Mus musculus: one gene and its partners. The main gene of each other region encodes a partner of the protein of the gene in region 3 in a complex. Links are inferred from orthologs where the notes say so. Each region holds a gene or a part of one and is shown on either strand. Other genes may lie near its edges. The genes, in order: Kansl2, Kansl3 and Kansl1.

What was found.
Region 1: Kansl1 (region 3) and Kansl2 share a complex: the UniProt entries of both Homo sapiens proteins name them as parts of the NSL complex. The link is inferred for Mus musculus from reciprocal best matches to the Homo sapiens genes KANSL1 and KANSL2.
Region 2: Kansl1 (region 3) and Kansl3 share a complex: the UniProt entries of both Homo sapiens proteins name them as parts of the NSL complex. The link is inferred for Mus musculus from reciprocal best matches to the Homo sapiens genes KANSL1 and KANSL3.

The regions. Positions count from the first base shown.
Region 1 is NC_000081.6:98,514,541-98,524,631, reverse strand, and holds the end of Kansl2 (KAT8 regulatory NSL complex subunit 2), read left to right. Parts: coding exon 1-173; intron 174-2,869; exon of another isoform or gene 2,870-2,996; intron 2,997-4,206; coding exon 4,207-4,314; intron 4,315-4,753; exon of another isoform or gene 4,754-4,915; intron 4,916-5,084; coding exon 5,085-5,210; 3' UTR 5,211-6,974; downstream 6,975-10,091. UniProt on the Homo sapiens protein: Non-catalytic component of the NSL histone acetyltransferase complex, a multiprotein complex that mediates histone H4 acetylation at 'Lys-5'- and 'Lys-8' (H4K5ac and H4K8ac) at transcription start sites and promotes transcription initiation.
Region 2 is NC_000067.6:36,342,136-36,352,226, reverse strand, and holds part of Kansl3 (KAT8 regulatory NSL complex subunit 3), read left to right. Parts: intron 1-226; coding exon 227-301; intron 302-436; coding exon 437-594; intron 595-2,761; coding exon 2,762-2,825; intron 2,826-3,208; coding exon 3,209-3,409; intron 3,410-3,468; exon of another isoform or gene 3,469-3,545; coding exon 3,546-3,702; intron 3,703-4,932; coding exon 4,933-5,010; intron 5,011-6,197; coding exon 6,198-6,389; intron 6,390-6,760; coding exon 6,761-6,842; intron 6,843-7,180; coding exon 7,181-7,311; intron 7,312-8,047; coding exon 8,048-8,157; intron 8,158-8,331; coding exon 8,332-8,554; intron 8,555-8,842; coding exon 8,843-8,976; intron 8,977-10,091. UniProt on the Homo sapiens protein: Non-catalytic component of the NSL histone acetyltransferase complex, a multiprotein complex that mediates histone H4 acetylation at 'Lys-5'- and 'Lys-8' (H4K5ac and H4K8ac) at transcription start sites and promotes transcription initiation.
Region 3 is NC_000077.6:104,437,340-104,448,143, reverse strand, and holds the start of Kansl1 (KAT8 regulatory NSL complex subunit 1), read left to right. Parts: upstream 1-5,823; 5' UTR 5,824-6,419; intron 6,420-10,804. UniProt on the Homo sapiens protein: Non-catalytic component of the NSL histone acetyltransferase complex, a multiprotein complex that mediates histone H4 acetylation at 'Lys-5'- and 'Lys-8' (H4K5ac and H4K8ac) at transcription start sites and promotes transcription initiation.

The DNA of each region.
Region 1 (10,091 bases), on a different chromosome or scaffold from region 3:
TAAGCCTTTCTGAGGATCCCTGCTGCCCTCTGCATTTCCAGTTGCCTCCTCAGATGTATAAGCCCGAGCAGGTACTGTCTGTGCCAGACGATCTGGAAGCCGGCCCCATGGATCTGTACTTGAGTGCTGCCGAGCTTCAGCCCACTGAGAGTTTACCACTGGAGTTCAGTGATGTAAGTTAGAGAAGCTCTGCTCTGATTGGCCCTTGACAGAAGGCCCTGTTTACTAGTGGTGAGAATAGTTAGCTGTTTTCAGCCTAGAGGGTGATGTGATTCTAACGCATTGACTGTGCCTGTTTATCCATCTATCTACACTCTGTGCTCTACCTTTCTCCTCCCCAGACTTTTTGTTCTGAGACAAAACCTAATTCTGTAGCCTGAGTTGAACGTGAACTCGTGATCCATATCTCATAAGTGTTGGTGTTAGAGACATGAACCCCCATGCCTGGCCTCCTTTGTTTCTCAGGGATGGGATTCGTAGAGCACAACTTGGAAGTGATTTTTTTTTTTTTTATCAAGGTGTTTATATGCAGCACCTATCATTACTGAGGATGTTGGTACCATACTTTCTAATGAGATGAGTAAAAAACATGATTTGTATTTGTTTTGGTGGTTTTTAAACATCTTCTGGTGGATAAGCAGTTTTGCTGACCCTTTTTAAAAAGTTTTATTTTTGACAGATTTTATTACAAAATTTATTGAGTTTTCAGACTTTATGTGGTTCAATTCTAATTTAGTGTTTTTGATGCTGTTATGAATGGGGTCTGAGCATTTCTTTTTTTATGAGTGGGGTCTGAGCATTTTTTTATGAGTGGGGTCTGAGCATTTCTTTTTTTATGAGTGGGGTCTGAGCATTTCTTTACTTGCTTGCTTCCTGAAACCCAGCTTGTACCACGACTTTAAAAAGCTGGCATTTGATGCCTTTTTTTCTTTTTTAAAAGTTTGTTTTATAAATGTGTGTGTTTTGTTGTATGTATATATGTATGTATGTATCCATGTATGTATGTATGTGCACCCTATGTGTGCCTGGCATCAGAGGTCAGAAGAGGTTAGATCTCCTGGGACTGAAGTTATAGCCAGTTGTGAGCCACCATGTAGATGCTGGGAATTGAACCTGGATCCTCTGCAGGATTAACACGTGTTTCTCTCCGTGAGCTCTTTTGGGAGGTACTTGATGGAGCAAATGATGTGTACTATGAATCCCATCTCGAGAAACGGCCTGCGCTTAAAACCTCTGTAGTCACTGCTTCCAGGGGATGAGGTCCCTGGAAGGCTGTGTCCTGTACAAACCTACTTTTCCCCTGCTGTTTGGAGAGAGATGATGCCAGTCTCCTTTTGCTCTGGGAGTCTGGCAGCTTAGGATATAGTCTGTAAATCTCTTAGCTATGAATTTGGAGTAATTATTTTAAGGCCAAACTGGCCTAACATTTTAAGCACTTTCCTATATGGCTTTAGAGAGTTTGACTGCTCAGTGATGGGGAAGCTTAGCGTTAGCGTCGCCCTTTCCATAGGGCAGAGCTGGGTATTGGGGGTTTCTTTTCCAGTTTACGGTGATAGTGCCCAGAGTGGGTTTCCTACCTGCACTTACCTCTTTACCTTTGCTTTTCCTTCCCACTCAAAATAGACATTTTCTAGTTGCCCAGTGGACAAGATTCTCTTGACCACTCAGTCCTGGCATTCTCACAAATAGACGTTGTTTATATAATGTACCTGTGGGTAGAAAGAGCTGGCACCAACCCCAAGCTTTAAAAAGAAAAATTGCAGGAAACAAAGTGAGCACTGTCTTGGTGGTGTGCGCGTGGGCTTCTGTGGGCCGAGAGCTGTGTCCAGTGGACGTCTGTAGTGGATAGTGGGCAATGTGGCTGTCTCTTTCCTCCTGCTTGCACTGAGCAGTTTGTTTACTTGCTGTTGTTTTTAAAGGCATTTTAAAGAAAGGATACATTACATATCCCTTGAACTCTCAGAGATCTGCCTGCCTCTGCCTCCCTCCAGAGTGCTGGGTTTAAAGGTAAGCATTCCCATGCTTGGCTTTAGACTTAATTTTTTTTTTTAAGGATTCAATTTTATTTTATGTGTATCAGTGTTTGGCCTGCACATATGCGTACCGTGTCCATGACCCGGTGCCCTAAGAAGTCAAAAGAGGTGTCGGATCCCCTGGAGTGGAGTTAGTTCTGTGTAGAGCGCCGTGTGGGTGCTGGGCACTGCGCCTGCGTTCTCTGGAAACTCTTAACTGCTGAGCTATTTTTCCAGCCCCCAATTAAAAATATGTTTGGCTTTTTATTTATTTGTTTGATTTATTTTAGATAAGGTCTTGCTCTGTAGACCAGGCTTGCTTCAAACTCAGAGAGATCCACCTGCCTTTTGGTTCCTGAGTGTCAGGATTAAAGTTTTAGATTTTTAAAAACTTATTAAACTGTGCTAACCCTTAATTATGAAAAGGTTATGATTTCTATTCCTGGTGATTAGCACACCAAGATTTTATGATACATACTAATTATGTAGAATGGTTTCCTTGTGACAGCCTCATATAGGCATATGATATACTTTGAAGTCTCTTTGCCTGCCAGCCTTCTGCTTCCTCGTCCCTTCTGCTCCCCTCCCTTTGCCTGTTCTTCTGTCATGGGGCACCTTTACTTTCTTAGCTAGAGCTTAAAAGCATTAGCCGAATTTGTCGAGATGGCTTGGAACTTGGGTTGCCATAATTTTTGAACCACTATAGCGATGTGGGCCCTAAATCAGTGTTGGTTTGAGGAAGGAGCCAGGAGTGATGCTTTTGATCTGCTGACTCCACAGTGTCTCTGGGAATGGCTGATTCATATGCAAAGCGTAGAGTGTAGAATATAATGTCCTTTTTTTTTCCCCCTAAACAGAATACTTGAACTATGTTAAGTGTAAGACTCAGAGGCTTAGCCCGGCCAGGTGGCACAGGCCTTTAATCCCAGCTCCTGGGAGGCTGAAGCAGAGCATCCTAAGGTCAAGTCTTGCCTGGGCCACAGGGTGAGTTCCAGGCTAGCCTGGTCAACTTAGTAAGACCCATGTCAAAGTAGAGCGTGAAGAAGAGGGCACTGAGATGTAGTGCAGTATAGAATGTCTGTCTGCCTTGAGAGAGAGAGAGAGAGAGAGAGAGAGAGCAAGGCCTGACCTCAGGCCACATTGCTCATTCTAGGGATTGGAGTTAACCACAGTATCCTGTCTTTGCCATTCAGAAACATCTGAGTTTCTGTGGTCTGTCCTCTCTTTAGTTGCTTGCTCCGTGAATGTTGGTCAGTCTTGTATCACCAGTGTGTTTTCCAGCAGGGTTTCATGTTACTTTGTCCATAGGCTGATTGTTCTTATTGGATGCCTCAGTCAGGAGCGTAGGTGTTGACTGTAATTAGAGAGAGAGAGAGAGAGAGTGTGTGTGTGTGTGTGTGTGTGTGTGTGTGTAGTGTGAGTGTGTGTGACAAGGCATGCATCCGAGTTCTCTCCTTCCACTGGGTGACTAAATACAAGCCATTAGCCTTTACTTACTGAGCCAATCTGCCAGCCTTGTATTTTCTCTTTATTTTTCCTTTTAAAAGTGTTCTTTTACACTTAATTTGTGTGTGTGTGAACATGCATGTGTTATGTGCACATCAGAGGGCAGTTTTAGGAGTCTATTCTCTCCACCATGTGGATTCTGGGGTTCAAACTCAGTTCATCTCACTTAGCGATGCCTTTGTTCACTGTAAAACATGTGTGATGCTGGGCGTGGTGGCGCACGCCTTTAATCCCAGCACTCGGGAGGCAGAGGCAGGCGGGTTTCTGAGTTCCAGGCCAGCCTGGTCTACACTGTTAGTTCCAGGACAGCCTGGGTTATACAGAGAAACCCTGTCTTGAAAAACAAAAAACAAACAAACAAAAAGAACCTGTGTGATACTTTACAGTTGATTGGTATTGATCTTGAGTAGTGTGTTATGCAGTCATTGTTAGCATCTTTTTCCTCCCTCGGTTTAAACAGACTCTGTCCCTGTTAAGCCTCCCCCTTGACTCTCGGTGGTCGCTCTTTCACTTCATGACTTTCCTAGTGGAAATGAGCTAAGAGAGGCTCTTACTGTTGTTGATCTTGTTCACTGATCTAAGCGGGGGGGGGGGGGGGGGTAGAGTTACCTTGAGCTTTGGTGAACATTGTCAGTTGTAGCTTATTGATGTCCTAGATGCTGCTGACGGACTCTTCTCTTTTCCCCAGGACTTGGATGTTGTGGGTGATGGCATGCCATGCCCGCCGTCGCCATTGCTCTTTGATCCTTCGCTAACTCTTGAAGATCATTCAGTCACAGAAAGTGCCGGAGACGCAGTGGGTATCTTTAACAATGACTGTCAGCTAGGCTCCCTCATGTAGTGACCAGGCCAGGCGTTGGCTAGCATGAATTCCAGGGAGTATCGTGATTCCCAAGTAGAGAGCAAAAGTGCCCAAGATGCCATAAAATGGAAATACCCGCTTTAATAAAACACCACAACCCAAAGCAACTTGAGTAGAAAAGGACTTATTCCACCCCTTACTTCAAGCCGCAGTCCGTCACCGGGGAAGTCAGCTGGGAAGCTGGAGGCAGGAGCTGATAGAGAGGCATAAAACAACTTCTTTTGCTTTTGAATGCTTGTCGGTACTAATTTTCCAGATGAACCGCAGAACTCCTAATGGTTCTTAATCCTCAAGAGGGGGCATCCGTTTGTTTGAGTGAAAGGTGATAGATACATTGTCTCTTTAAGGGAGCGTTCATCACTCGAGCTATTCTAGAATCAAGGGATGGGAGGTTACCCATGGCTCTTACTGAAGACTAGCAGTTATACACTGTAGCTGTTGGTTTCAAGCAGACGCCTAGAGAACTGTCTTCCAGTGGTTTATTAGCTACTCTGGACTTCAGTAGAGAATGACTATTTCATTTGGAAGAAACAACCCTTGTTCTCTCTGGTTTCACAGCCTCAGTAATTCTGGTTCTTTGGATCAGCAGTATCCTGGGGAAGCAACCAGCATGTTAGCTACTTTATCTCTCTGCTCTGTCAGAGTCATGCGTCAGGCCCATTGGAGGGAGTCTCTAACCAAAGTGCCTTTATTTATTTTAATAGGGACAGATGCAGGCGGCTGGGGATGGGTGCAGATCCCAGGGAGCTCGAAGTGTAGAGAAAGCAGCATTCCCTCAGCGTGGATTGGCTACTGCGAATGGAAAACCAGAACCCACTTCTATCAGTTGACATTCATTCTGGGAATTGTTTGCCTTTGGATTTGAACTTTCCATTCTTCAGACAAGTGTATCTCTGATCATCTCTCCCTGAACAGGGACAACTCAGACCACATTGCTTCCTTTGGGGCTTTAGAGCGCTATAGACAAACATAATCCAAGTTTGTGTGGAATGAATATTTAGTATATAAGTTTTGGGATTTTTTTTTTTTTCAAGGAAGAATGTGAGGTGATCCCTGCCTTTGGGATACAATGCATATTGGAGACTGCCTGGGAGAGAGACATTCTGTAATGGGACTCCTAAGCCACGGACAGAACCCCACATGGATGTCCAGGCGGGCTGTGCTCGAGACGGTGCTCGGCAGGCGTTGGCCCTTAGTGTCTGGCTAGCTGTATCTAAAGGCCTGTATCTAAGCCTTTCCTCTGCTCTACATAGTTGGGCAATACAAAGCCCATTCGTTTCCTTGTGAACTGTAACTGAGAAAAGCAGCTCACAGGTCTGGGCTCTCCTTACTTAGTTATTCTTGCTTTTAACTTATGTAAGTTCCTGTGGTGACTCCATGTAATATGTAGTGAAATTACTGTATATAGTTTCTATTAAATGTTAAAATGCTATCAAAGTGTAAAGTGATCTGGATCGATTGTGTTCTCGTTGGATTTGAGAATGTTCTGATGGGAAAGGTGTATACTACTTCTATTCTAAGACAGGCACTCTGGAGAAACTCACGACAGAGGTGGTGCTTGGTACCTAGTTCCCAGGGCCAGGTAAACTTGTGTCACTGGAAAGCTAGGGGTTAATTCACTCGAGACCTGGCACAGAGCCTTAGGACCTTGGTTCAACCCCAGCGAGGATGGTGGAGTGGCAAAGCAGACAGTGTGGCGGTGAGGTTTGTGTAAAGCCGCTTCCTAGGGGAGCGTTAGACAGAAATGATGAGCAGTTCCCAGGAAGAAGCTAATAAAACTGCCAAGGAAAGCGGCAAAGCTCCTCCCTGGGGTGGGCAGTCATCCATTTCTCCCTGCAAGGAAGTAGACTAGATCATTCGCTCAGCCCAGACCCCTTTCGGGTGTTGGCTGTTCTCTACTCTTCTGTTGCTTATGACTAAGATGTAAGGTTCCAGAGGGGTTATAGAGCATCATGGCAGGATCAGGAAGCCGTGAGCTCGCATGGGGACTACTAGCATGTGGGACAGCACACGTACAAGACACAAGGTTTATCTCAAAGTCCATCCCCAGTGATCACTTCCTGCAGCATTTCGGTATCACCGAGATATCCCAAAACTGCCACCAGCTGGGTGCCAAGTGTCCAAGTGCCAGAGACTGGCGGGCATTTCTAATTCAAATAATCACATCGGGGTTGGCCAGTGGAAAGCACAAGAGCACGGTACTGGACCGGATTGTCAGAAGGGGAGCTGGTTCAAAGAGCACTGAGGGCAGACCAGAGTACATCTCTTAGAGCCAGGCCAAACTGTAATCCCCCCACTGCTGCGACACGTGGAGGCCCCACAGTGGTACCCCAGAGTGGGAAGGTTGGATGGCTCATGGGAAATACACACTATGATGACTTAGGAGGGATAGTGGCTCCTATGTATGCGAAGAGGAGACTACAACCAGCAAACTGCAAACCACCTCTCAGCAAGTTGTGTAGGGAACACCAGGGTTGTAACTTTTGTGAGTTATCACCATTTTGGGGGGGATGAACCTATCTTTCAGTGATGAACCTGTCTTTGGGTCATCCATATTCCTGTAAACAAGCCAATAAACCCTACAGTTCACTGAATACTTGGACGGAATCATGTTTTTGGTGTGTCATGTGCCAGCCAGGGCTCCCGAGGAAACTCAACATGGCTGCAGTGGCCACTACTAACCACAAGGGGGAGCTAGGGAGATGGGCGCAAATCTTACGGAATATCACTCCTGACTGAGCTGGGGAGACCTAAAACCCTGCTCAGGGCCCTTAAGTAATTAAGAAAACAATACAAGACTGGGAAGCCTTTTGGTCATATACCTTCTTTTCAAAGGCCTGTTTCATTGTAATAGCATGGTGTTTAGAAGCACTCAGAATGTAACAAAGTAGCTGCCACTTTCTCAGATGTAGCTGCTGTGAATCAGCATTTACTTCAGTAAGCTACCTCAGGACAGCCCAAGGTTAGAAAAGTAACTCCCCCCCCCCCCACCATCATGCATTGCTCATTCCTACTGTGCATAGGCAAAAACTTGCTATAATCCCTCTAATTTATAATTTCTGTTCTGCATTACCAAGGCTGTAGCACAGGTCTGTCTAAGCCCACTTGATACTTGGTTAGCCATGCAAGAAAAAGACACCCCACACAAAATACACAAATAAATCCTACACGGTCTTACAAACTATTTTCTTACTTCCCTTCTTCCTTTCCCCACCCCGCCCCCCGTGCTCCCAACACCTCTCCTCTTTTGGTGGAGTCTCAGCCTTGGCTGGCCTAGAACCCTCGGTAGACCAGGCTGCTTCAGACTCGGGTCCTCCCGCCTCTGACTCCCTAGTGCTGGGGTTAAAAGCATACGTTACCATACCTGGCTTTATTTTTTTTTTCTCCTTTTAAAATAAGTTAGTTTGAGCCAGGCATGGTGGCACACGCCTTTAATCCCAGCACTCGGGAGGCAGAGGCAGGTGGATTTCTGAGTTCAAGGCCAGCCTGGTCTACAGAGTGAGTTCCAGGACAGCCAGGGCTACACAGAGAAACCCTGTCTCGAAAAACCAAAAAGTAAAGTTAGTTTGTTGGGCTTAGGGAGTGGCCCAGCAGTTAAGAGCTCAGGCTGCTCTTCCAGAGAACCCAGGTTTGATTCCCAGCCCCTGTCTTCAGACACACCAGAAGAGGGCATCAGATTCCATTACAGATGGTTGTGAGCCACCACGTGGTTGCTGGGTGATGTGTTAGAATAGCAGCTTGCGTCTGAACACAGCACACTAGGCCAAAACAGTCCCACATGTAAGAGGTTTATTGGGAGAGAGAGAGGCAAGGAAGGTGGCGGTGGAAAGAGAAAGGGGGTGGGGGGAGAGGGAGAGAGGGAGAGAGAGAGAGAGAGAGAGGTAGTCACAGGTAAAGGTGGGAGGTGAGCCCAGTGGATTCTGGGAATATGGTGACTGTTGTCTTGGCAACAGGTATGTAGGTTGCACTGTCATTTATGTGATGTCACAGGTTTCCAGAGGTCCTGATGCCAACACTGGGAATTGAACTCAGGAGAGCAGTCAGTGCTCTTAACCGCTGAGCCATCTCTCTAGCCCCGACCAAGTGGATTCTTTTATTTAGACAAAGGGAAGTGGCATGCGTCAGAACCATCTTTATTCCTAGTCACCTTTACTTCACTGGTCTCTGCTCTCTCAGCCTCCGTTTCCTTATAGTCTTCCCTTTCCTGGTCTTGACAATGCCACTCCCACTCCCGGCCCTTTAAGGCTGGCTTTACCCTTCCTTTAGCTCTTTGTATAGCAATATCTTTTCTTTATTTTTCTCTGAGTCTGTCAGTCTTCTGCTAGCAAGGCCATTTCACTCTGCAGGAGTGTTGTTTCTTCCATACCTGCTTCTTTGGACTACAACTGCATTCTCCCTTGATTCTGAGGCAATAGTCAAAAATAAGGCTGAAACAGTGTAGCCTGTAAACACAAACCCCTCATCTGCTCCCGTTCTACCTCCAAGTCAAGGACATAAAGACCCATTAAGTTATTTAGTAAGTTGGAAGTCTAGGCTGGGAAGATGTCGTCCACTCTAACCCTCCAGGCTACTGCTTAGCCACTCGGTTCTTTATCTTCCTTCTGAGCTTCTCCCTGGCTTGCTCTGCTCCACGTGAGTCCCCATGGCGAGTCCCTTGGTGACCTGCTCATCATGACATCTCCTGGACCCTCTGCCTCATGGCCACATCTTGGTCTGTCCACGAGGGCTCTCTAACCTCTTCTCCTCTAGTTAGGGTGTGGCTCAGCCCTTAGCACACACCTTTAATCCCAAACAATGAAAGTAAAGTTGGTTTGTAGAAGGAAGCACCCTTGTTTGAAAGTGGTGTTTAATTGAGTGGCAGACAAAGTGACGAATCAGAGAGATTTGCCAGAATAGAATACGCCCAGCTCTCATGAGAAGAGAAAGGAAAGGGAGGCTACTTCAGAGGAAAGTGCAGAAAAAGGAAAAAGAGGAGGAGGAAGAAGAAGAGGCAGTTTTCCTGGGAGAGCTTTACAGTGACAGGTCACAGAGAGAGGACACGGGTGAAGACAGAACAAGCCAGAGACTGAGAAGGAGCCAGAGGATTAGAACAGATTGCTAGAGTTAGTTTGAGGCCAAGCAGAGCAAAAAGTCAGATGTCAAGAGAGAAGTGGATTGAATCAGTCAGCTTGGAGAGGAGTTTGAGCCAGAACAGCTGAGTTGAAGCAGCCAGTCAGAGATCAGAAGGAACAAGGGAGGGTGAGCTTATTTAGCGGTAAGTGCCAGAGACTGACATGTCCTAGGCTTAGATAAGATTGTATGGCAGCTAGAAGCTTCCAGGACTAGGCCTAGGTTAGCAGACAGAGGCAGAAAGCCTCCAAGACAACCATGACTACAGGAGAATAAAAAATCACTTTAACATCTCTGTGCCCAGAAGTCAGCAGCATCTAGAATATACAGTGTGCAAGACCAAGCCCCAACCAAGGAGCCTGCATCAGTGACTTGTGCACCACTGTAGCAGAAGCAGCTGTCAGAGCAACCTAAGGCAGGAAGGATGCTCACCGTCTTAGAGATGTCGGCAGAGATGTGTAGAATCAGAGCAGCTCACATCGTGGTGGCCAGGGACCAGACAAAGGGAGCATAGGAGGGACCCAGGGCAAGATATAGCCCCAAGTGCACACCCCGGGGACCCAACTCTTCAAGTAGGCCCCGTCTCCCAATTGTGTCATAAG
Region 2 (10,091 bases), on a different chromosome or scaffold from region 3:
AGGTGTGTATGAAGGTCCTATCAGGGTTCCAGTTCTCTAGGTGGTGACTGCCTGTGCTCTGTACTCTTAATCATGTATGGCTGACAAAACTGAAGGCTAGAACAAGCAAGAAAAGCTGGGACTGACTGGTGGCTCTGGGCTACCCAGGCCCACTTGCATTCTGGGGAGGCTGGGGTGTAGTGAATTTACTTATCCTAAAGCTGAATGATGCCTTTATTATGTACAGGTGTCTGTGATGGAGTACGTCACTGCTGTTGTCTGCCTTGGGTTTCCTCTGCTTACTGTGGATGGACCCAGGGGGGTAAGAGGGAGATGAAACTGCTTGGTCTTTGGCAGTGGGAGTGGGGGGCAGCAGGAATGTGGAACAGTGGAGTGCATGCTGCATCGGCATTAGTTGAGGGCCAACTGCTTACATCTAAACTCCTGCCTCTTCCAGGATGTGGACGATCCCCTCCTGGACATGAAGACTCCAGTCCTCTTCGTCATTGGTCAGAATTCTCTACAGTGTCACCCTGAAGCCATGGAGGACTTCCGGGAAAAGATTCGAGCAGAAAATAGCTTGGTGGTGGTTGGGGGAGCTGATGATAATCTCAGGTGGGTCCATCTCCCGAAGGACGAGAGGGAACGTATTGAAATGTTAGAGAATGTTTATCCGTGGCCGAATAAAGACAGACCAGTATGGCTGAAGGAACAATTAAACTTGCATCCTATAATCCCAAAATGTATTCAGGAGGCTAAAGCAATAGCTAGCTGGCCCTTGAACCTATTTCAAAAAACTACAGCACTAGTACAAGAAATCTGAAATCTCCTCTATCCCTCACCTAGACAAAATATAATCAAAATGTCGATTTGATAGTATTGTCTAATCTAAATAACAAACCTAGATTTCATCAGTATCTCCCAAGAGAGGAGAGGAACAGAGAGAGGGAGAAGGGGAGGGAGGTTGGAGAGAAAGTGAGCCCCTTTCTCCCTCTCTTTCTTATTTGTTTTGAGGCAGGATTTCATGTAGCCCAGACTGTACTCATATTTACAATGTAGCTGAGAATGGCCTTGAGGAGGATCTTTCTGCCCTTAGCCTCCTGAGTCTCCATGCCTAGTCTTCAGTGTTTGTTTTCTGGAACCTTGACATGGTTGAAGATGGCTGATCAGTTATAAAATATCGATAGTTCTTTTACATGTTTTTCTCTGATCTATTGAAGATGTTTAGTTTTGTCAGGAATGCCACAAAGGTGACATTGCTTCTCAGTGTATTCTGTCAGAGGATACATGATTCAATTTATCTTGTTACTACTGATAATAACGTTGATCATACAGTTGGGATAGCTACTGTGGGGTTCTCCACTATGAAATTACTGTTTCCCCTTTGTAATTAGGAGTCATCTTGTGGGGAGGTTATACTTTGAGATTGTAATCAGACTTTTCCTGGGGTAGGCATTTTAAAAAATTTCATTCCTTGAGGACCAGTATGAACATAGATTTACTTGTGTTAAGCCTGACTTTGTTGATACATTATAAAGTATCAACAAAGCCAGATTTTGGGAGGGATTTAAGGTAAGGTGTCTTGTGACTTTGGTCATCAAGACAGCCATTCATTAAATCTTAGGAAACATCTTTAGTTGCAGAAATTATAATAGAATCTCTCTATGTAGCTCTGGCTATTTTGGAACTATCGTTATGTAGACCAGGCTAGTCTGGAACTCACAGATCCACCTGCCTCTGCTCTGAGTTAATGCTAGAATTAATGGTGTGCACTGGTCCGTCAGGAGGAAAGATTTTGAGACTCTTGTCTTTGACATCAAACTTTTCATTACATACACTTTACATTTTTTATTTTATTTCTTTTTAATTTTTTAATTTTGTTGTCCTGGCTGTCTTATAACTATGTAGTGTAGACCAGACTGGCCTCAAATTTACTGCCTCTGCTTCCTGAGTGCTGAAATTAAAGGTGTATGCCACCTTACCTGATTAAAAATTTTTGTTTCAAATTTTTGAGTTACATTTTTTTAAAAAAAGCAAAGTCAGTTTTTTTAAGACTTATTTATTATATGTAAGTACACTGTAACTGGCTTCAGACACACCAGAAGAGGCTATTGGATCTCGTTATGGATGGTTATGAGCCACCATGTGGTTGCTGGGATTTGAACTCGGGACCTTTGAAAGAGCAGTTGGTGCTCTTATCCACTGAGCCATCTCACCAGCCTCCTTGAGTTACATTTTTATTACTGGTTTTGTGTGCCGGTGTCCCCATGCCCTGACACTTTATGAAGGTCAGAGGATAATGTGCAGGAGTTAGTTCTCTTTTAAACCATGTAGGTCCTGAGCAACTCACATTGGAAGATCAATACGAACATAGGTAGTATTTGTATTAAATGCCATTTATTTTGGAGGGCTGGTATAGTTTCAGTAATATTGCTCTCCATTGTAAAACTTATGGGTCTGATTTTCTGTTTTCCAGGAGCATCAGTCAGAAATCAGGTTTTTGTTGCTTTTAGATAGGGTCTTACTCTGTAGGTAAAAAAAATTTTTACAGCTCTCCTTTCTCTCTCTCCTTCTCCCTCTCCTCCCTCCCCCGCTCCATGTGTGTGAGAGAGAGTGTGTGTGTGTGTGTGTGTGTGTGTGTGTGTGTGTGTGTGTGTGTGTGTGTGAGACAACTCTCAAGGTCAGGTCCCTTCCACTCTAGGCTGCAGAGTTTGCACTCAGTCGTCATGCTCTCTCTGCTTGGTCATTTCACTGCTCTCACTGTTTCTTTTTTGCTTCTTAGAATAAGCAAAGCAAAGAAGAAATCAGAGGGCCTGACTCAGAGCATGGTGGACAGATGTATTCAGGTAAACAGTTTGCTCTCCTTTTTGTTGCTAGGTTTTGTCTTACTGGCAGCAGCCTTTCTCACTCTGGACCATGAAGGGTTTCCAGTAGGCTGTGTGGTAGACCTAAGTCACAGTCAAAGAAAGGAGAGCAGGGAAGGACAAAGCAAAGAGGTGAACTGAGATATGGGTGGGCACTCAACAGAGTGGGGCATGGAGTATGCCCAGAGCTTTTGCACAGGCACCTGCTGGTCTTCCCCAGGTATCGCAGCTAAGCTTGGCCTGTATGTGGCCTTGGGAGTGGAAAGAACCATCATGGGAGAATAGAGTTCTGTTTATCTTGGTGCTATCTAGGAGGGTCCTGTTCTCCAGGGGAGGACTAAGGCCTTTGCTCCTTTTCACACTAGGATGAGATTGTAGACTTCCTGACTGGAGTGCTCACTCGTGCTGAGGGTCATGTGGGCTCTGAGCCTCGGGATCAGGATGCTGAGAAGAAGAAGAAACCCCGGGACTTGACCCGAAGAGACCTGGCCTTTGAAATTCCTGAGCGAGGCAGTCGTCCTGCTTCCCCAGCTGCCAGGCTCCCCACATCCCCCTCAGGCTCAGAGGTAGTGTGTGCAGGGAGAGGCGCCTTTACTGAGGTCTTCCTTTGTGGGAATGTCTGGGAATCCCTGTAAGGGGAGATGCAGGGAGCCATGCCGAATGATGCTTGGATTCAAGTCTCTTTGTACCTTCTCTACCCAGGATCTCTCCAGTGTGTCCAGCAGCCCCACCTCTAGCCCTAAGACCAAAGTGACCACAGTGACCTCTACCCAGAAATCAAGTCAGATTGGGACCTCCCAGCTGCTGAAAAGACATGTGCAGAGGACAGAAGCTGTGCTGACCCACAGACAAGCCCAAGGTACAGATGGTCTCCTGGCCCAGCAGCCCCAGTGGGGCTCCGTCTCCTGCAGCTAGTGTCATGTGGAGTTGGGAAGTATCAGCTCTGCAGCTTTTTCAGGGCAGCTTGAGAGGCTCCCATACTGCTTCTAGGTAAACTCAGGTTGAAACGAGTCCCAAGGCTATGTGGTAATAGGCATTTTGTCATAGTCACCGTGTTCTGGTGTGCTGGAGACGTTGAGCTTATAAGCTAACCGTGTGTGTAGTAGCCTGGCGTTTTTTCTAATTTCTAATTGAAGAAGCCGTGTATTTTGCCAACCATTCCTGGAGTCAGAGGGCTTTCCAAATGATAAGCACGTGGTGACTGATTTTACTCCTCAGAATAGGCTAGCTCACCTTGTCCTTTTGGTTTGGTCTTGAAGAGTTAAAGAGTTCCATGATGCGACATTTACAGATTTGGTCAGTGTTCTGCCATTAAGCTTCAGATAAGACTGGGGAACATCACTATCGTTGAAATCAGGGTTTGGAGGGATCCAAGGGTTGTGTGAGTAAGGAGCTGTAGAAAAGAAAGAATTCAGTGAGTAAAGAAAGAAGCATCGGTGGCTCTGTCCCTAATGTCTGTCTGTCCCACTCCCCTCCATCCCAACATGGTCCTCTGCTCACCACCCCTTTTACTTTTAATGAGGCCAAAGGCTCCATTACTTAAACTAAGGCTTCTTATGAAGTGCCACTAACAAGTATGAGTGGGTGGGTGAAGGCAACAAAAGAGGCTGGGTACCTGGGATCTGTGTACATGCTCTGTAAGTGGTACTTGGGACTAGTGGAATTTCCTTAGAATTTAGTGAAGGCAGAGCCAGCAGGTTGCTGTATCTCTGGGTAGCATGATTAGTGGAGAAATGTAAGGTGGTCTGGAAGGCTGAATGGTGAGCTGGGTTTAAGATGGGAGCCATGAGTGTCAGTAGGATAGCAGCATCCATACAACCATGCTTAGGCAGAGCTGATGGGTGGGTGGGGAACAGTAGTTAACAGAACTCTCACTGCCTGCTGACCCCTCTGTTTGGAGGTGACTTGCCCTAGCTTGTTGAGGCTTGGCAACAGCCTCGTGTGACAATTACACAGCAAAGTCAGGTTCCAGATCTGTGTGGTTCCCTTAGAAAGAATGGTTGACGGTTTTCATCTTTTCCTTGTTCCCGCTCTGTTCCTCCATTCTCTAGCTGGCTGTGATTCTATAATTCTTTCTGATTCATTCCAGCACAGTTTGCTGCTTTTCTGAAACAAAACATGCTGGTGAGGAAAGCTTTTCCTCCTGGCACCTCCTCCTGTCTCTTTGGTGAGTATTGCTTTCACCTGCTCGCCTAGGCTTACTGCTCTCCTCCCTGCCTCTCAGTGTTCCCTGCTCTCCACTGGTTTTTTCTCTTCCTTTCTCTCTGTCTCCCAGCTCCTTGTACTAGCTCCCTTGCTTATGTTCTCCCTATTGGTTTCTCATGGTGGCATTTCTTGCTTTCTCACTTTTTTCTGCCACGCTCCTTGGCTCTGAGTCTCCCTTGTATGCTTGTATGCCTGTGGCCTGCTTGCCTTCATGTGAGCCTGCATTTTCCTTGTCTGTTTTCTCCCTGCCTTGGTTGTTTCCATCCTGATTGCTGCAAGTACAAGAGAGCTGCTTAGAGCACTCCTCTGTCTTAGGCTGGTACATTCATCCCTAAGCAGCCCTTGATTCCCTCACTGTAGCCCCACGCCAGCAACCCCAATGTTCATTGGCCTGCTGTCTTGCTCACTACAAAAGAGACTTCTGAGGTTACAGAGCAGGAAACTGAGAAAGTCTAAAGGTTATCAAGCCTAGGGAGGCAAGGGACGTTTGCCTTTATACATAGTGATCTGTTTGAGTTAATGGAAGTTCATATCCGTAGACCTGGTTGGGACATGGGCCACTTTTGTCTTATTTGGGCAGCAGCTGAAATGCTACCTCACCTAGTAGTTCCTGAGAGCCAGCAACTCCTGGTAGCAGTCTGTCTGCCTTACCACCATTTGACAAGCAAAGCCCTCAGCCTCAAGTACCTAATGCATGATGGAGGCTGCGGAAGCCCTGGGAAAACTCCCTTGTGCAGAGGATTAGGTGGCCTGCCTGTGGATGTTCCTTATAGGCTGTTTACTGTCCCCAGCTATGGGACAGCTTGGGAGAAGGTGTATAACAGGGAAATGACCAGCTTCTTCGAGTCTGGAAAGTGCAGAGAAAACTGTTTACTTAGTTCTCTGATGGGGTTGGTTCTGCTAGATGATGTCAGCATGCCTTTTATCCTTTGTTTGGTTCCCAACAGCTCAAGGCCCCTTGTCTCCCTACTCCAGGGCAACTGAGATAGGCTGAGTTATCTCTGAGATATTCCAAGTCAGGTCCCCAATGGGTGGGACAACCTGTACCTGTGTCCCTTTTCCTGTGCAACTTCCACATGTCTCTTCTGGATGGCTTGGCTTGTGGTATTTATAAGTTATAGAAGATCTTACCTCAGCTCTGTTTCTTAGTTCCCATTTCATCAGAATCAGTGGAGGACATAGAGAAAGAAGAGCTTCGGGTCCAGCTTAAGAGGCACCATTCTTCCAGTCCTCTTCCTGGAGCAAAGCCTTCCAAGCGACCAAAGATCAAAGTGTCCCTGATCTCCCAAGGGGACACAGTTGGAGGACCTTGCACTCTTTCTCAAGGTGGAACACCTGAAGGTGAGTCTTTTGTGCTGTCTTTGATAAAGGCTGATCAGCGTTCCCAGGCTTGGCAGGCAACCCAGCCTCTGTCAGTCAATGGTCACCTGGAACAGAGATGGTCTGAGGTCACACATGGTGGAAAGTGGTAGTCACCTGTCTCAAGAAGGGAGACAATATCAGAGTACTTGTGGGGCCATTTAGAACATTATACACTTTGTCCATTTGGGGTTTTAATTAAGGTAATAGACAGCTTAAAAAATGGAAGGAAGGAAGAGAAGAACCCCAGCTGTCCCTGAATAGCATAGCTGTTCTTTTTCATTTTCCATCTTAAATTCAGCCTTGGTTTAGGGGCAAGTTAGGACTGAACTTTGGTCTTGGTTATTCTGCAGCTGCCGGAGGGAAGCCCATCACCATGACCCTGGGAGCTTCAGCAGGAGCCAAGGAACTCACTGGACTTCTCACTACAGCCAAGTGAGTCTGTCTGCCTTTGCTCTCCTAGTCTTCCTCCTGTTCACTCAACTTCTGCTTCGTTTGGTCTTCAGGGAAGTTGAGATATTCTAGAGTCAGTTGTAGGCATGTGACTTTTTTCTGATTGGGAGCTTTCTTTCTGACAGAGCATCCACTGACTTTACCCAGGACTTGAGTTCTTTCATTTAGGCCTGGCTTTTAGAAGGATAGAGGTGGGGCTTAGGAACTGAAACAGAAACCAAAGATTCTTCCTTGCCTGACGGACGGACTTCACTCGGGATACCCCTTGTGGCTGTGGGCTGCTGCTCTTTGGATAACAGGGCTCCTTCCTTTATTTCCAGGTCAAGTTCTTCTGAAGGTGGAGGTACAGCCAGCACAACCCCATCTGTGGCTTCCAGCAGTGCCACACCTAATGCTATCCACACGCTGCAGAGCCGCTTGGTGGCCACTTCTCCAGGCAGCTCCCTTCCAGGTATCTTGTCTTGGATCTGCTGCTGCAGGGGGTGGTCTTAGACCAGTTCTGGAACTGGAGCGAGAAAGAGTAGCTCTGCTCTCCCAGTGGTAGCAGAAGCTAACGGGAACTGGAATTAGCTTGTCTTTACTGTCTGTAGGGGCTGTGTCCTTTACTGTGAGGATAGACAGTTGCCTGTGTTGTTTCTTCTTTTTCATACCTCCAACTAGATAAAGCTGGAGGTGGTGCTGAACTGAACTTCAGCAAAGTGAGATGTGTTTTACCTCTTTGATATCTACTTTTTCTGAGCCTAGCCTGCCTGGAAGGGCTGATTGCCGGTACCATGGGTTAGGACATTGCTGAATTACCTCTCCCTTAAGATTTTACTTTCAGGTTGTTGGACTATATGTAATGTGGTCAGGTATCAGAATCCACTTGCTTTATTCTTTCTTTTCTGTAGAAGTAATTGAATTTGTGTTTCTGAAAAGTGAGATTCAAGCTCTCCGTTTTTCTGTACAAAGTGCAGGACTGCTGGCTTAGAACAGGTTGGAAAAGTAAATCCAAGGCAGTGTCTGGCATAGCACCTGTCCTTGTGTAGTAACTTCTGTGTGTGCTGGGAAGGCTTTCCTGGTATCTTTCTGAGGGCAGGGTAGTGCTTAAGGGCAAGCTTAGGTTGTTGTAGGATGAAAGTGCTATAGGCTGCTTGTGGGTAATACCCGGGACTGATGTCTGCTGCATCTGCCATGTCCTCTCCTAGGGACCGCTTCAGCCAGCAGCCTCCTCCAGGGCCTCAGCTTCAGCTTACAGGATATTAGCAGCAAGACCTCTGGCCTCCCAGGAAGTCCCTCCCCAGGGCCAGCCCCACAGGTATATCATCTGCTGTACTGGGTAGTGTGGGATAAGAACTTCTTATGGGAGGGATAATATAAAGATAATAAAAATCCTGGAAGAGTACCTTGCTTGCCATGTGCTGAGTGGGCTCTGCAGGCTCTGGTGTTATTGTTGGGTGGTAACTTCTAATCATCTGCTTGTGTCCAATAGGCCACCAGTGTGAAATTGCCAACCCCCATGCAGAGTCTGGGTGCCATCACCACAGGCACGAGCACCATTGTCCGTACCATCCCTGTGGCCACCACTCTCTCCTCCTTGGGTGCCACTCCTGGTGGGAAGCCCACTGCCATCCACCAGCTGCTGACCAATGGGAGCCTCGCTAAGTTGGCAAGCAGCCTACCTGGCTTGGCTCAGATTTCCAACCAAGCATCAGGTAAGTGCCATGAAAATGATGGGGACTTCCAGTTCTGGGTATTTCCAGGTCTTAGATAGGCAAGGTGAACTTTCCTTGATTCTTGGATTCAGCTCTGTGGAACCTGCCCTCAGAAAGGTCTAGAGAACACAGACTGGAGCCCTTCAAATTTACTGACAGCGTAGACCTACCTGCCCAGGAAGAAAGCCAAGATGCTGTTTTGGGAAGAAACTGTTACCTGAAAGTAGAGGCTAGAAATCAGTACCCTGTCTTCCTAACTTTCTCTCTGTCTGTCTGTCTCTTACTTAGGCTTAAAGGTCCCCACCACCATTACTCTGACGCTGCGTGGCCAGCCAAGCAGAATTACCACGCTAAGCCCTATGGGGTCAGGGGCAACGCCGTCCGAGGAGCCCAACTCCCAGATGCTACCATCTAGTTCACAGGTGAGTTGGCCTGGGCAGACCCAGGAAGTGAGCAGGTTCCAGTCCTAGGTAAATGTGGGGCTGGCCACAGTGTTGACCACACCTGCCATTGCGCTGAACTTGTTGGCAGACCAGATTCACATTTGGACTCTGAGTTTCTAGCCTTGTCACTTTGAGCAAGGCAGGACCTCTTTGATTTTCCTTCTCTGTAAAACTGTCTGTTGTGAGGATTGAGATGGTGAAGCTCCAAGGGCATCCGTGACTGGGTAGAATGTTTCTGAGTATTTCTCTCTTCTTCCCTTTCTCCTCCCTTTCTTGGTTTCATCATTCAGACCTTATCAGTAGAGGCTGACTCTTGGACCATGTCTTCATTGCTATCTTTAGGGTTACCCAGGAAGTAGCAGTCGATTCCTCTTAGCGATTCACCTTGCTTTCTTATACCCCCAGGACCACCTGCCCAGGAGCGGCAGTGCTTCTGGTGAGCTGAGCCCTCCCCCGTCAGTGCTCTGCTGGTTACACATATGCAGTGTGATTATGGAAGCCCTTTGTCAGTTACGGTTCCTCTTTCCAGATAACTCTAGCTGTGTCAAGTTAGGGAAAAACAGCAACAAAAAAACCCTAGATCATAGGTGGGGATTAGAGGACGACTTTTTAGAGTTGGATCTTGGTCACTTCAATGTGAGTTTTTACATACAGTAAAACAAACACTGGTTTTATGTTAATCCTTTTTCTGTTACGTGGTTTCTTATGCTTTATCCTGGTCAGTAGATTGCCTTTATTTTATTATTCTTATTTTTTGTGTATGAGTTTTGTCTGCATATGTATGTGTGCATTCCTGGGACCTTCAGAGGTCTGAAGAGGGCTCCACATCCTTTGGAATTGGAGTTAATAAGAACAATTGTAAGCTGCCATGTTGGTGCCAGGTACCAAATTATGACCCTTTGCAGGAACTGCAAGTGCTTTTAAATACTGAGCCATCTCATCCACCTTTGCATATTATATTTTTTGAGAGGATCAGGCCCAGGCTGGTCCTGAATTTAATATGTAACTAAGGATTGCCTTGAACTCCTGGTCCTCGTTTCTGCACCTCCTGAATTCTCCAGTTACAGGTACATGTGTGTCACTTCCTCCAGTTC
Region 3 (10,804 bases):
TTGTGAGGCATTATATGGGTACTGGGAATCAAAACTAGGTCCTTACCCTGTCCTGAAAAAAACCAAAAAACCAAAAACAAAAACCTAGGTCCTTTATAGCCATGTCTAATTTGTCTTTGCTTTTTAAAGTAGGGTCTGGCTGTGTGAATGAGGCTGGCCTGTACGTGATATCCTCCCACCTTGGCCTCCTAAACAGCTGGGACTATAAACAAAATAACAGCATGCCTGGCTTTCCACAGAAAATAGTTTCAATTAATATTCTATGGTTTTTATTATGTGCTTAAAATTAGTTCATTTGGAATAATTTTGTTAAGTTTGTGTTTTAATGTCTTAATGTGATTTCAAGAATTAGTTTGGAATACTGTTGAAAATTATCTGAATTCTGTATTTTGTCAGTCTAACTCAAAAAATTTTAAAAAATGCTGTGGAAATGAGAGGGTTTTCTGTATAGATAAATGACAGAGATAAGACAGGAACTTTAGCATTTCCTGAATTTCAGTCATGTTCATATGTTCTCAGAAACATAGCATTGTTTTGATCATTTTGTACCCATGATGGATTTGTTAGATGTCTTTAGGTTTTGTCATTTGAATAGAGGCTATATCTATGTAGGCTTTTCTGGGTGTGCCTCTCTATGAATGGTCTGAACCAGTTGCTCTGCTATCCTCTTTCTCCAGGTGCCTCCAAAATCTTATTGATATAGCGGTCTTCTCTGCCAGGCAGGGTAGTATAAACTTAGGATCCTATCATTTGGGAGGCTGAGGCAGGGGGTTCATGAGCTCAAGGCTAGCCTGACATGTGAGACCCTGTCTCAAAGAAAAAATCAATACTAATCATAAATAAAGAAAAATCCCTCTGTTTTGGAAAAGATGACAGTTTTGTGTATTGTTACATAGTTGTGTTTATTGTGGCAGAAGTATTTCTGATTGTATTACAAAGTTTATTTAAATTAACACTCTGAACCAAGTCCCCCCCCCCCCATAGTGTCTCTTATCCTAGATCGATCACTCTCCCCCCCCACCCCCTTTCGTTTCTCTGTGTAGCCTTGGGTGTCCTAAAACTTTCTGTGTAGACCAAGATAACCTTGATCTCAAGAGATCTGCTGGTCTCTGCCTCCCATGTGCTGGGATTAAAGTTGCCACCCATGTGCTGGGATTAAAGGTGCATATTACCATGCCTAGCCTTTTTGTTCAGTAGCTTGAGACATTTCTTATTCTATCACTGTACTCTTGTGTATACATAGAACCCTAAAATGAAAGGCTTAAGGAAGAGTAGCTCAGTGGGTAGATACACTATTGTATAAGCACAAGGACCTAAGTTGGAACATCCAGCACCTACATAAAAATGTACTGTGTGTCTGGGGTCAAAAACAGGCAGACCTAGGAGTTTGGTGGCTCGGCAGCCTATCCAAAATGGGTGAACTTAAGGTTCAGTGAGAAATCTGTCTCAAAAAATAATGTAAAGTACTGGGCAGTGGTACCTTTAATCCCAGCACTCACTCTGGAGGCAGAGGCAGGTGGATCTCTGAATTTGAGGCCACCGTGGTCTACAGAGTGAGTTTCAGGACAGCCAGGTAGGCTGGGGCAGGTTTTATGTTTTGTTATTGTTTTAGAATTGTCAACTGACTTATGAAAATTATTTATTGATTGATTACGACACAGTTTCATGTATCCCATGCTGGCCTTCAAATCTCTGTGTAGATGATAACTCCTACCTCCACTCAAGTGTTGGGTTTACAGGTTTGGGCCTGTTGTGTCTGGTGTATGTAGTGACAGACTTGGCAGGGATCCTGTACGTGTAAGGTAATCAGTCTGCCAATGATAGAGTCACCCTTTCTGGCTCAGGATGGCCTCAAATTCAGGATTTCTACATTAGACTCCTGGATAGCTGAGATGATAGTGTGCCACTGTGGTGGCTTGGGTTAAATTTTGATGCTATTTTTTGAATTATCCCCAGTTTATTTTTTGTTTTAGAAGTATGTTTAGAGTTAGTGTTTGCAATGTTATTGTTTTGTTTTTGCTATAGCTAATTCATAAGTTGCTTTAGAATTAATTTTTTCTTAATATTAAATCATTTCTATGGTGAGAGAATATATTTATGTAATTCTAGAGCTGGAGTATGAGGAGGAAAATTACCTTAATTTGTTTTTTTTAAGGTGGAGTTTATAAAAGGAAAGCTATACCTTTTTTGGAAACAGCTTTTCATGGAGTACATACTCTAAAATAAGAGAAATTAATCTTTGTTACTATCTTAAGGTGTGAGAAACCTAACTTCACCTGTTTTAAATAATCAAATGTTTTGTTGTTTTGTTTATAGCTGGAATTGCAGAAGTCATGCAGATGTCAGAATTGTTATGATGTAACTGTCATCAGAACGAAGACTCTTGGCAGCTATCCATTCTGTCTGCTTTGATGCTGATAGCCTCCTAAAGAAATAAAATATTTTAATAGTTTAAACTATTTAGTGGCAGTGGGGGCGGTGCTTATTTTTTTTTTCCCATCTCATATTAAGATGAATGGTTTCTTCTTGGTTCTTTCAGAGTCTTCCTAGGTAGCTTCCACTCTTACCTCATGCTCAGTCCTAACTAGTCCCAAGTAAAAATATTTGCCCAGGATAGAATGGATATTGAGCACATCAATTATGACTGTTCTAATAGGTTATAAATGTGGATTTTGTTTGTTTGTTTGAAGCAAGATCTCACTGTGTGGTACTTGATGGTTTGGAACTCACTATGTAGACCAGGGTAGCCTGGTAATTTGTCGGTAATCCTCCTGCTTTTGCAACCCAAATGCTGTGATCATAGATATGTGCTACCTTGTTTGTGTTTGCTTGTGTGTTTTTTGAGGCAGGATTCTCTGTAAAGTCCTAGCTATCCTGGAAGCTCTGTAGACCAGGCTGGCTTCAAACTCAGAAATCTGGCCCCTCTGCCTGCCAAGTGCTGGGTGTGATCAACATCCTGAACCATCAAGCTCAGCTTTGTGTGCATGTTTTAATCAGCCTTATCATGCATTGTTTCTCTGGGGGAATTTTGTTTTTTTCTGTGTTTTAGCATTCCCCCAATTCTGGGCTCCATGTCTTGTCTTCCCTCTTTACTTTGTGTACCAGCAAGCATTTGGATTTTATATGACTGTAGCTGGTCTAGAAAGTCTATGTGTTGATGTATAGCTAAGGATGACCTTGAATGCCTGATCTCTCCGGATCCACCTTGGGATTGATAGAATTTGAGAAGTTGTCACCAAGCCTGTCTCTAGAGGAGGTTCTTAGGTTTTTTTTTTTTTGGTTTTCGAGACAGGGTTTCTTCATGTCTGACTTAGACCGAAGTCTTTTTTTTTTTTTTTTTTTTTAAGACCGGAAGTCTTTAAAGAAATACATTTCTTTTTCAAAACCTCCTCTGTGGGCGTGGTGGCACACACCTTTAATCGGAGGCAGAGGCAGGCGGATCTCACAGTTCAAGGCCAGCCTAGTCTACAGGGAGAGGACAGCTAGGGGTACATGAGAAACTCTGTCTTATGTATAGATTTTTGTCAGTAGTTGCTCACTTTGAATGCAGTTGTTCATAAACTTGGTACTTAGTTTTGTTGTTGTTTTGTGTTTTTGTATTTTTATTTTTTTATTATTGGACTGGTTATACTGAGATTCAGGAACTCTGGATTTTCATGCTTTCCCCACCCCCACTGAAATGCTGGAATTGAATGCATGTGTCAATATGCTTGAGTTAGGTAGTGAAGTTTCTGTTGTGGTTTTTTTGTTTGTTTGTTTGTTTTGTTTTTGTTTTTTGAGACAGGGTTTCTCTGTGTAGCTCTGGCTGTCCTGGAACTCACTCTGTAGACCAGGCTGGCCTCGAACTCAGAAATCTGCCTGAGTGTCTATACCCAGCTGTCACAGAACTCAGTATGTAGAACAGGCTGGCCTTGAACTCACAGAGTTCTCCTGCATCTCTTTTCCTAGTGCTGAAATTATAAATGGCATGCAGCACCATGACTGTGTAGATAGTCAAGATTTTAAGAGTTTGGATAGTTAATAACATTGTTATAAAGAGTTTCTTTCACTAATATTTAAGAAATTAAATTTAAGAATATTGTAGAAAGCTTTGCCTTATTTTCATTCAGCTAATTTAGATTTTGTTATCTTCAGATTAGGGCTCTAGGTCACCATCTGTTGGTCCTGTAATTATGTATAAACATCCTCTGTGGCATTACTGTTTATGTGAATATATATGCTCTCTCTCTCGCGCACACACACACACATACATACACACACATGCAAACACACAATCTTACCTGTATTATAAGTTAAAAAGCCCAAACTATTGATCTTTTTTGGATGCATATGTAAATATGTATACATCTATCAGTTTATCCCTGTGTATTGACTCTATGTTGTCTCCTGCCTTTGATATTTGAAAACCAAGATCATGTTTGAGAGTGTAATTTTAAAAATGCAGATGGAAATTCAAGAGAAATATAGATGCAGATACTGCAGAAACTTGTTGAGTTAGAGACTTTGTGGGCTAATGAAAACTGGTCTATAACAATAGTTTTTTTTTTTTGAGGAGCTGAAGTGACACATAACACCGGATACTGGTTTGGTAAACCACACAAAGTATTGAGCATTTTACATCTTCCTTTTGGTAGACTCTACTCTTCTCATCTGCTGAGCTTGGTGATTTAGTTGTTGGAACAAGTTTTATGCTATTTGATTTTGGTGAGTCCTAATAATCTTTGGACATGGTTAGCTTTAAAGGGTGGTGGATTTGTACTGTGTAATGTGTCACTTTGCGTTATATTAAGTTTTCTAAGTCCAGAAAATGTTCTCTGATATTAAACCTTATTTGGGAGGAAGGAACCGATATCGTGCTGACAAACTAGAGTCAAGAGTAATTAGGTGCCACTACTTTTAAGTCAACGCTGGTAAGAACATGACAGGTTTGCTTTTGTTGTTCATTGTTAAACTTTTAGCGGGTCTGTGAACTTTAATTTGGTAGTAGCAGGAAACAAAAAAATTACTGTGTAATGAATGCGTTTTTGCCTATTTTGGCGGATCTGACAAATCAAGAAGCCTAAAACAACACGCGGGCTTAACGAAAACTACAGTTCCCAGCGGGCCCGGCGCTGGTGGGCCATCATTTCCCCTCTAGCTCCCAGCTGCCCCTGCCCGGGCTAGCCCCGAGTCGGTCCTAGCTCGCGCCTGCGCAATGGCGTCCGCTTATTTTTTGGTTTGGCGGCTGCAGAGCGTGGCGCTAGGGCTAGCAGCCAGCCGTGTGCTGCAGTGTACAGAGCAGGGTGTAGGACAAAGGGCGGGTGGCAGGGACCGCGTCACTGGTCAGGGAGCTTCCTGCCCGTCTCAGAGCACGGTTGGCCCTGGGGTAGTGTGGCCGCAGCAGCTTCTTCATTCACTGCACACACAGTTCTTCGCTCACGTCCTCTAGCTCTGCTGTGTCAGTCCGCCCTCCCCTCAAACCGGCGCGCAGCACCGCCAGCCACAGAGCCGAGGGAATGTGACGGCATCAGCGCCTCAGGTTAGCCTCACCTCGATCGAAGCGAGGGCCCCGCGTCGCTTGCCGCAGTGCCGCGTGTCGCTGCCGCACGTATCAGGCACCAGGCACCGGTTTCCGCAAACAGAGGCGCAGAAGCAGCGGCCGCGGCTAGGAGCCATGACTGAGGCGGCGGCGGCCGCGCCTCCTGGCAGCCCGCGGGGGCGGCGAGGCGGGCGCCCCCTGGCGGCGCGCCGGGGCGGAGCGGCCCGCCGCAGCCGCAGCCGGCGGAGGCGCTGCTGTCCCTCCTCCCCGTGTCCCCGGCACTCGCCCGCTCGCTTGCTCGCTCCATTCTCCCTCCGCTTCAGATTAAAGGGGGGGAGGGAAAAGGAGCTCGGCCGCCATTTTCCCAGTGCCGCCGCCGCCACCGCCACCGCTCGCTGAGCCGGCGGGAGAACCAAGCGCCGTAGCGAAGCCGACTCGTCTCGCCGCGGCGGCTTGGGGGGCGGCCGAAGTGCGCTCCCCGGCCGGGAAGAAGCTCCCGGGGTGGCGGCCGGGGTGCGGGCGCGGGCTGCAGACGGCGGCGCTTGTTTGTGCGGGGCGGGGGGGGCAGCTTTACCCTCTGCCCCCGCCCGCCCGGGGCTGCGGTCCCCGCCGTGCCCAGGCCGGGTCGGAACGGAGGAAGGCCGGAGAAAGGGCCCGAAAGAGAAGAAAAAGCAGCCGCTCCCCGCCGCCGCCGCCTTCCCCTCCCCCTCCGCCTCGCCCCCCCGCCCGGAAAGTCAGGGCGGCTCCGGGCGCCGGGGGGGAGGAGAGCGGCGGGCCGGGCCGGAGCAGCAGCCGCGCGCCCCCGCCCGCTGGTCCTCGGCGCCCAGGCCGGGGGGCTGTTTGCAAACTGCGCCCATTTTGTGGGGCCGAATCCGCCCGGGCTACGCTCCTCCATCACGTGGTAGGTGCTGCTGCTGCTCCTTTCCTCCTCCTCCCGCTGCCCTTTCTCCTTCTCCTCGCTCTCCCTGTGGTTCCCATTTCTCCCTCTCTTTGTTAGTTGTAACTAGAAAGGCTGGGCAGGGGAAGAAAAATCCCCGGAACTTTAAATGGCCTCTCCGGGCTTCCCCGCTGCGGGTCCGGGCTGGGAGTCGCCCCAAGGGCGGGGGTGTGCGGGGGCCCTTCCCCACCAGCTGCCGCCTCGTTCGCTGGGCTTTCCTTTGGCGTTCTATTTAAAAAGGCGGCCTGGAGAACCTGGTTTATTTCCGAAAAAAAAAAAAAAAAAAAGCAAAAACAAAAAGACCAAAAACAAACTCTTGCTCTCGCCTTGAACTTCTCTTGACTGCAAAAGGTCTTTCTTTGCTCAAACACATCTTGCATGTCTGTCTCACGGTTTGTATCACAACTCTGATTGTTAACATTTTTTGTTGCTTAAATATTGAGGTCATTTGCGTTTTCGGATCTAGTCTCAGGCAGCCCTTTTTTTCAACTAAAGAGGAAGAGGCATTTATTTGCTTTTAAGTGAGTTGGAATCTTACTGCTTTTGGGGGGGCCTGTTTTCGGACTGACGGCCTTTGATTCTCAGCAAATAGTTTATAATTGTTTTCCGTATTGTAAACAATCTTACTCCCATGTTTTACCTAGAAATCCTTTTGTTTTCCAATGTTGGAATCCCAATGTGGATTTTTAGAGAAACTCGTTACTTAACTATTGCTTATTGATTGCCTTAGGGGAAAAGGGGTGACATGATGGCGCCACTTTAAATTGCTCTTTCCTCCGCCTGTTTTTTCCTCCTTTATCCTGGAGGTCACTGGAGCATTTTCCGTGACCTATTAATAAAACCGCACTTGAGGGTGTTAGCTGTACAACTCTTAGGGGTTAGAATTTGGTACCTTAAAGATTGAGAAACCCGAATCCTGCAGTCCCCAAAGTTAAGAGAAATCTCGCTAGTCCTCCAACCTAGCTTTCCTCCCCTCCATTCACAATCCTGGTGTTGCCATATCCTTCGTCACGTGGCTAGCAATCATTGTGGGGTTTTGTTTGTTTGTTTGGGGGGGTGTATGTTAATATTTTAAGCTGTAGCCAAGTAAGTGTCCCTCTGCCCATTAGAGAGATCACAATGCTCTAGGGTTTTTTTTTTTTAATACATTCGGAGAACATTTTAAAATAAACGATAAAATTACATAATCCTTGCCTTGCATAATCATGATATAGTTACAGAACTTCTTCTCAAAAGTACTTTCAATCAAGTAGGAAAATCGTTATATTAAAATGATTTCTGTTTCTTAGACTGGTCTGCAGTTTATATTTCCCACCCCACCTCCCTTTTTTGTTTTTGTTTTTAAGGTCATTTGAAGTACCAGTATTTACAAAAGCATAAAGTGGGCGTGTTTCCCTTTCCTCTCTTCTATGGGCTGTACTTGGTTTCTTGTCTTATTCTCCTACCAATTTAGAAATTTTCAATTAACTGCAGCTGTTGTCAGTTGAGACTTTTTTTTTTTTTTCTTCTGACAGTGGATACTTTTGATGTGTTTCTTTGTTGCATTTTTGATAGAGAAGTTTTTAATTCTAGTTTTCCAATCTTCTTACTTGGTTGTTATAACTTCTTGTAAATATTAACTATAAAATGCTAAAGTACATTTTTTTCTTTTTCTAGGTAAGTTACTAGCTTCAAAAAGTAAATATAAAATGTAATTCTTGAGTATGATTGATCTGTTTTCTCCTGATGTATGTTATCAATGGCTTGGGCCATTTTCTTTGCTAACAGTTACATCATGTCATGTGATAGGTGCAGTGTGATGTGTTGCTCTAAAAATATTGCGAGGTAAAAATGCTCATCCTTTGGAAATTTAAACAATGTATTGTAACTATTTGGTAACGACCCTTAGTCATGGAATCCTGAATTAGATTTCCACTAGGTTTAGCCAACCAAGTGTACAGTTCTTTTGACCTTTAGAATATTTGATTTGATTTGTTAGTGACCTCAGAACTTGAGGTGGTTTGACATTATTTTTGAAGTGTGATCTACTTGGAACCATTAACAATCACATAGATTCTTAAAATCTTTATTCTGATGAAGGTAGTTATTTAATTAAGTGTATGTGATGATTTGTTTCTGTACACAAAAGTCATCAGTTCTATGCAGATTTTGAGATAAATTGGAGGTTTGGTTTTCCTACCTATAGGAATCTGCAAGTATTGGGTTGCTGCATCTTTCATGAAAACCCAATTCAGACCAGTAGTGTCTTGACTTTCATGTTCATGTAATATTAAATCTGCAGAGCACTCTTTGATTTTTAGATAATTTACTGTCCTGTTAAGGAAAATTCTGGAAGCTAGAAAACAGTTTAATTTATTTGAACTTTAAGGTGAGAAGAAAGAATATTGTATTTTTTTTTCTCCTTCAGATACCACCAATGTCTTTTTTTCTCTAGTAATGCTACACTGTAATCAGTGTTTCTGTATAGTATAGCCCCTGGATTTTGACCAAATCTAGTTTGGCCACAGATTTTAATTACTTTTACAGTGAACAAATTTGGGGTTTGCTGTGTTTGATATGAGCTATTTTATGTGATCTGTAAACAAGGCTTTTGTAGGTGGTGATGCCTATTTTCAAAGGCATTTTAGTATTGAGTTGTTGTAGCTGTGAGTGAAATTGTTCCCTTAGTTTAGAAAAATAATTTTTCAAAATGCTCTTTAAAACATTATATTGTACAGAGAAAGCTTTGGGTTTAAATGGTGTGTTTTCCTATTCATTTTCTTTGGGTGGGGGTGGAAGGTTCCTAGGCCTCATCTTTCCCACCACCTTGTTTTGGTGAGGCAATTAAGACAGAAATGAAAGTGTCTTTCTGGAAATTTTTTTGTGTATTGTATATATACAGAGAGAGAGTGTGTGTGTATTGTATTGTATTGCCTCTAGTTCTAAGACCTGTCTATTTCTTGATCTAGATGGAAAGAAATAGTGTAGATTAAGTATAACTAGCAGTTATCTCTGGTTATTTCTATGACCCACAATTCTCTTCTCAATCTATATATAACACTCAAAAGATAGTACTTCCTATCTCTTCTGGCAGACTTGAAATGTTGATGCCCTCTACTTACAGTACTTTCCTAATTTCTATTGTCTTTTGTTGTTCACCTCAGTTTTTGAGCTTGCATTTTGAGAAATGGAAGTACCAAGAAGAGTCCTAATTTTGTCTGAATTTCTACACTCTGGTAGTAATGTTTTTGCACAACTTTAGTGTCTGTAAACTACTATAGAGTTTATTAGGTTTGAAACTATAACTATGTCTGTTCAAGTTGAAAAATAATTCTTCCTGTAGATTCTTTTTAAAAACTGGAAAAAAAAAGGTTTTGTTTTGTTTTTTTAAGATAAAGGGAAATGGTCCAAATCTTGTTTGCACTAGGATAGCAGGCCAGGTGTTGGGGCATTTTATTTGAGACATCTGCACTGTACTCTGTAAAGAGAGCAAGAAAAGGACACTAATGTAAAATATCCTTCCTGAGACCAGAACAGCCTAACTCATGAAGGAAGGAGCTTATTTAAAATGAAGAAAAGAGGACAAAGACAGGTCGTTTACAACTAAATAGTGGAGAAAGTGCTCTGGCGTTATGTTTATGTTTAGTCACAGGTCTGGCCCTTTGTGTGTAGGCTATTGGAAAGCCTTAGCTAGATAATAGTAGTGGCTTACCAAAAAGCTTGGAGTCAAAAGTACAGTAGATTATTTTATTTAATTTATTTGTTTACTTTGGTTAAGCTTTTTCTAATTTTTGGTAGGGTAAAGGTGAAGCCAAAATGTAAAGTGGAAACCAAGTTCCCCAAATTAGAGAGCATAGCTCGCAGGTGAATGAAAAACAAACTTGGAAGCCAATTGGAATGGCACATACCTTTAATCCCAGTATGGGCAGTGGATCTCTGAGTTTGAGGCCTACATGGTCTATGTAGTAAGTTCCAGGACAGCCAGAGCTACAAAGTGAGACCTGTCTTTTTTAAAAAAAAAAAAAAAACTTGAATGAATAGTCTGCTTGAAAAATTTAATGATTGTATATGAAGATTTTAATGACTAGTATAAATTTTTATGAACCAAGTGAGTTTGTTTTTTCATGATTGAAGGGGACATTTTAAGTGTTTTTTTTCTTCAGATTTTCAAAAATATGTATTTATTAGTTATTTGTATGTGTGTCTACATGTGAGTGTGTAAGAGAGTGTAGATGCCCAAGGAGGCCAGAGGCATCAGGTCTCCTGCAGCAGGAATTATGGGTGGTGTGAGCTGCCTGATATGGGTGCTGGGAACTGTAAGTGGTCTTAATGGCTGAGCTGTCTCTTCCCTCTTTAAACTTTAATCCTCT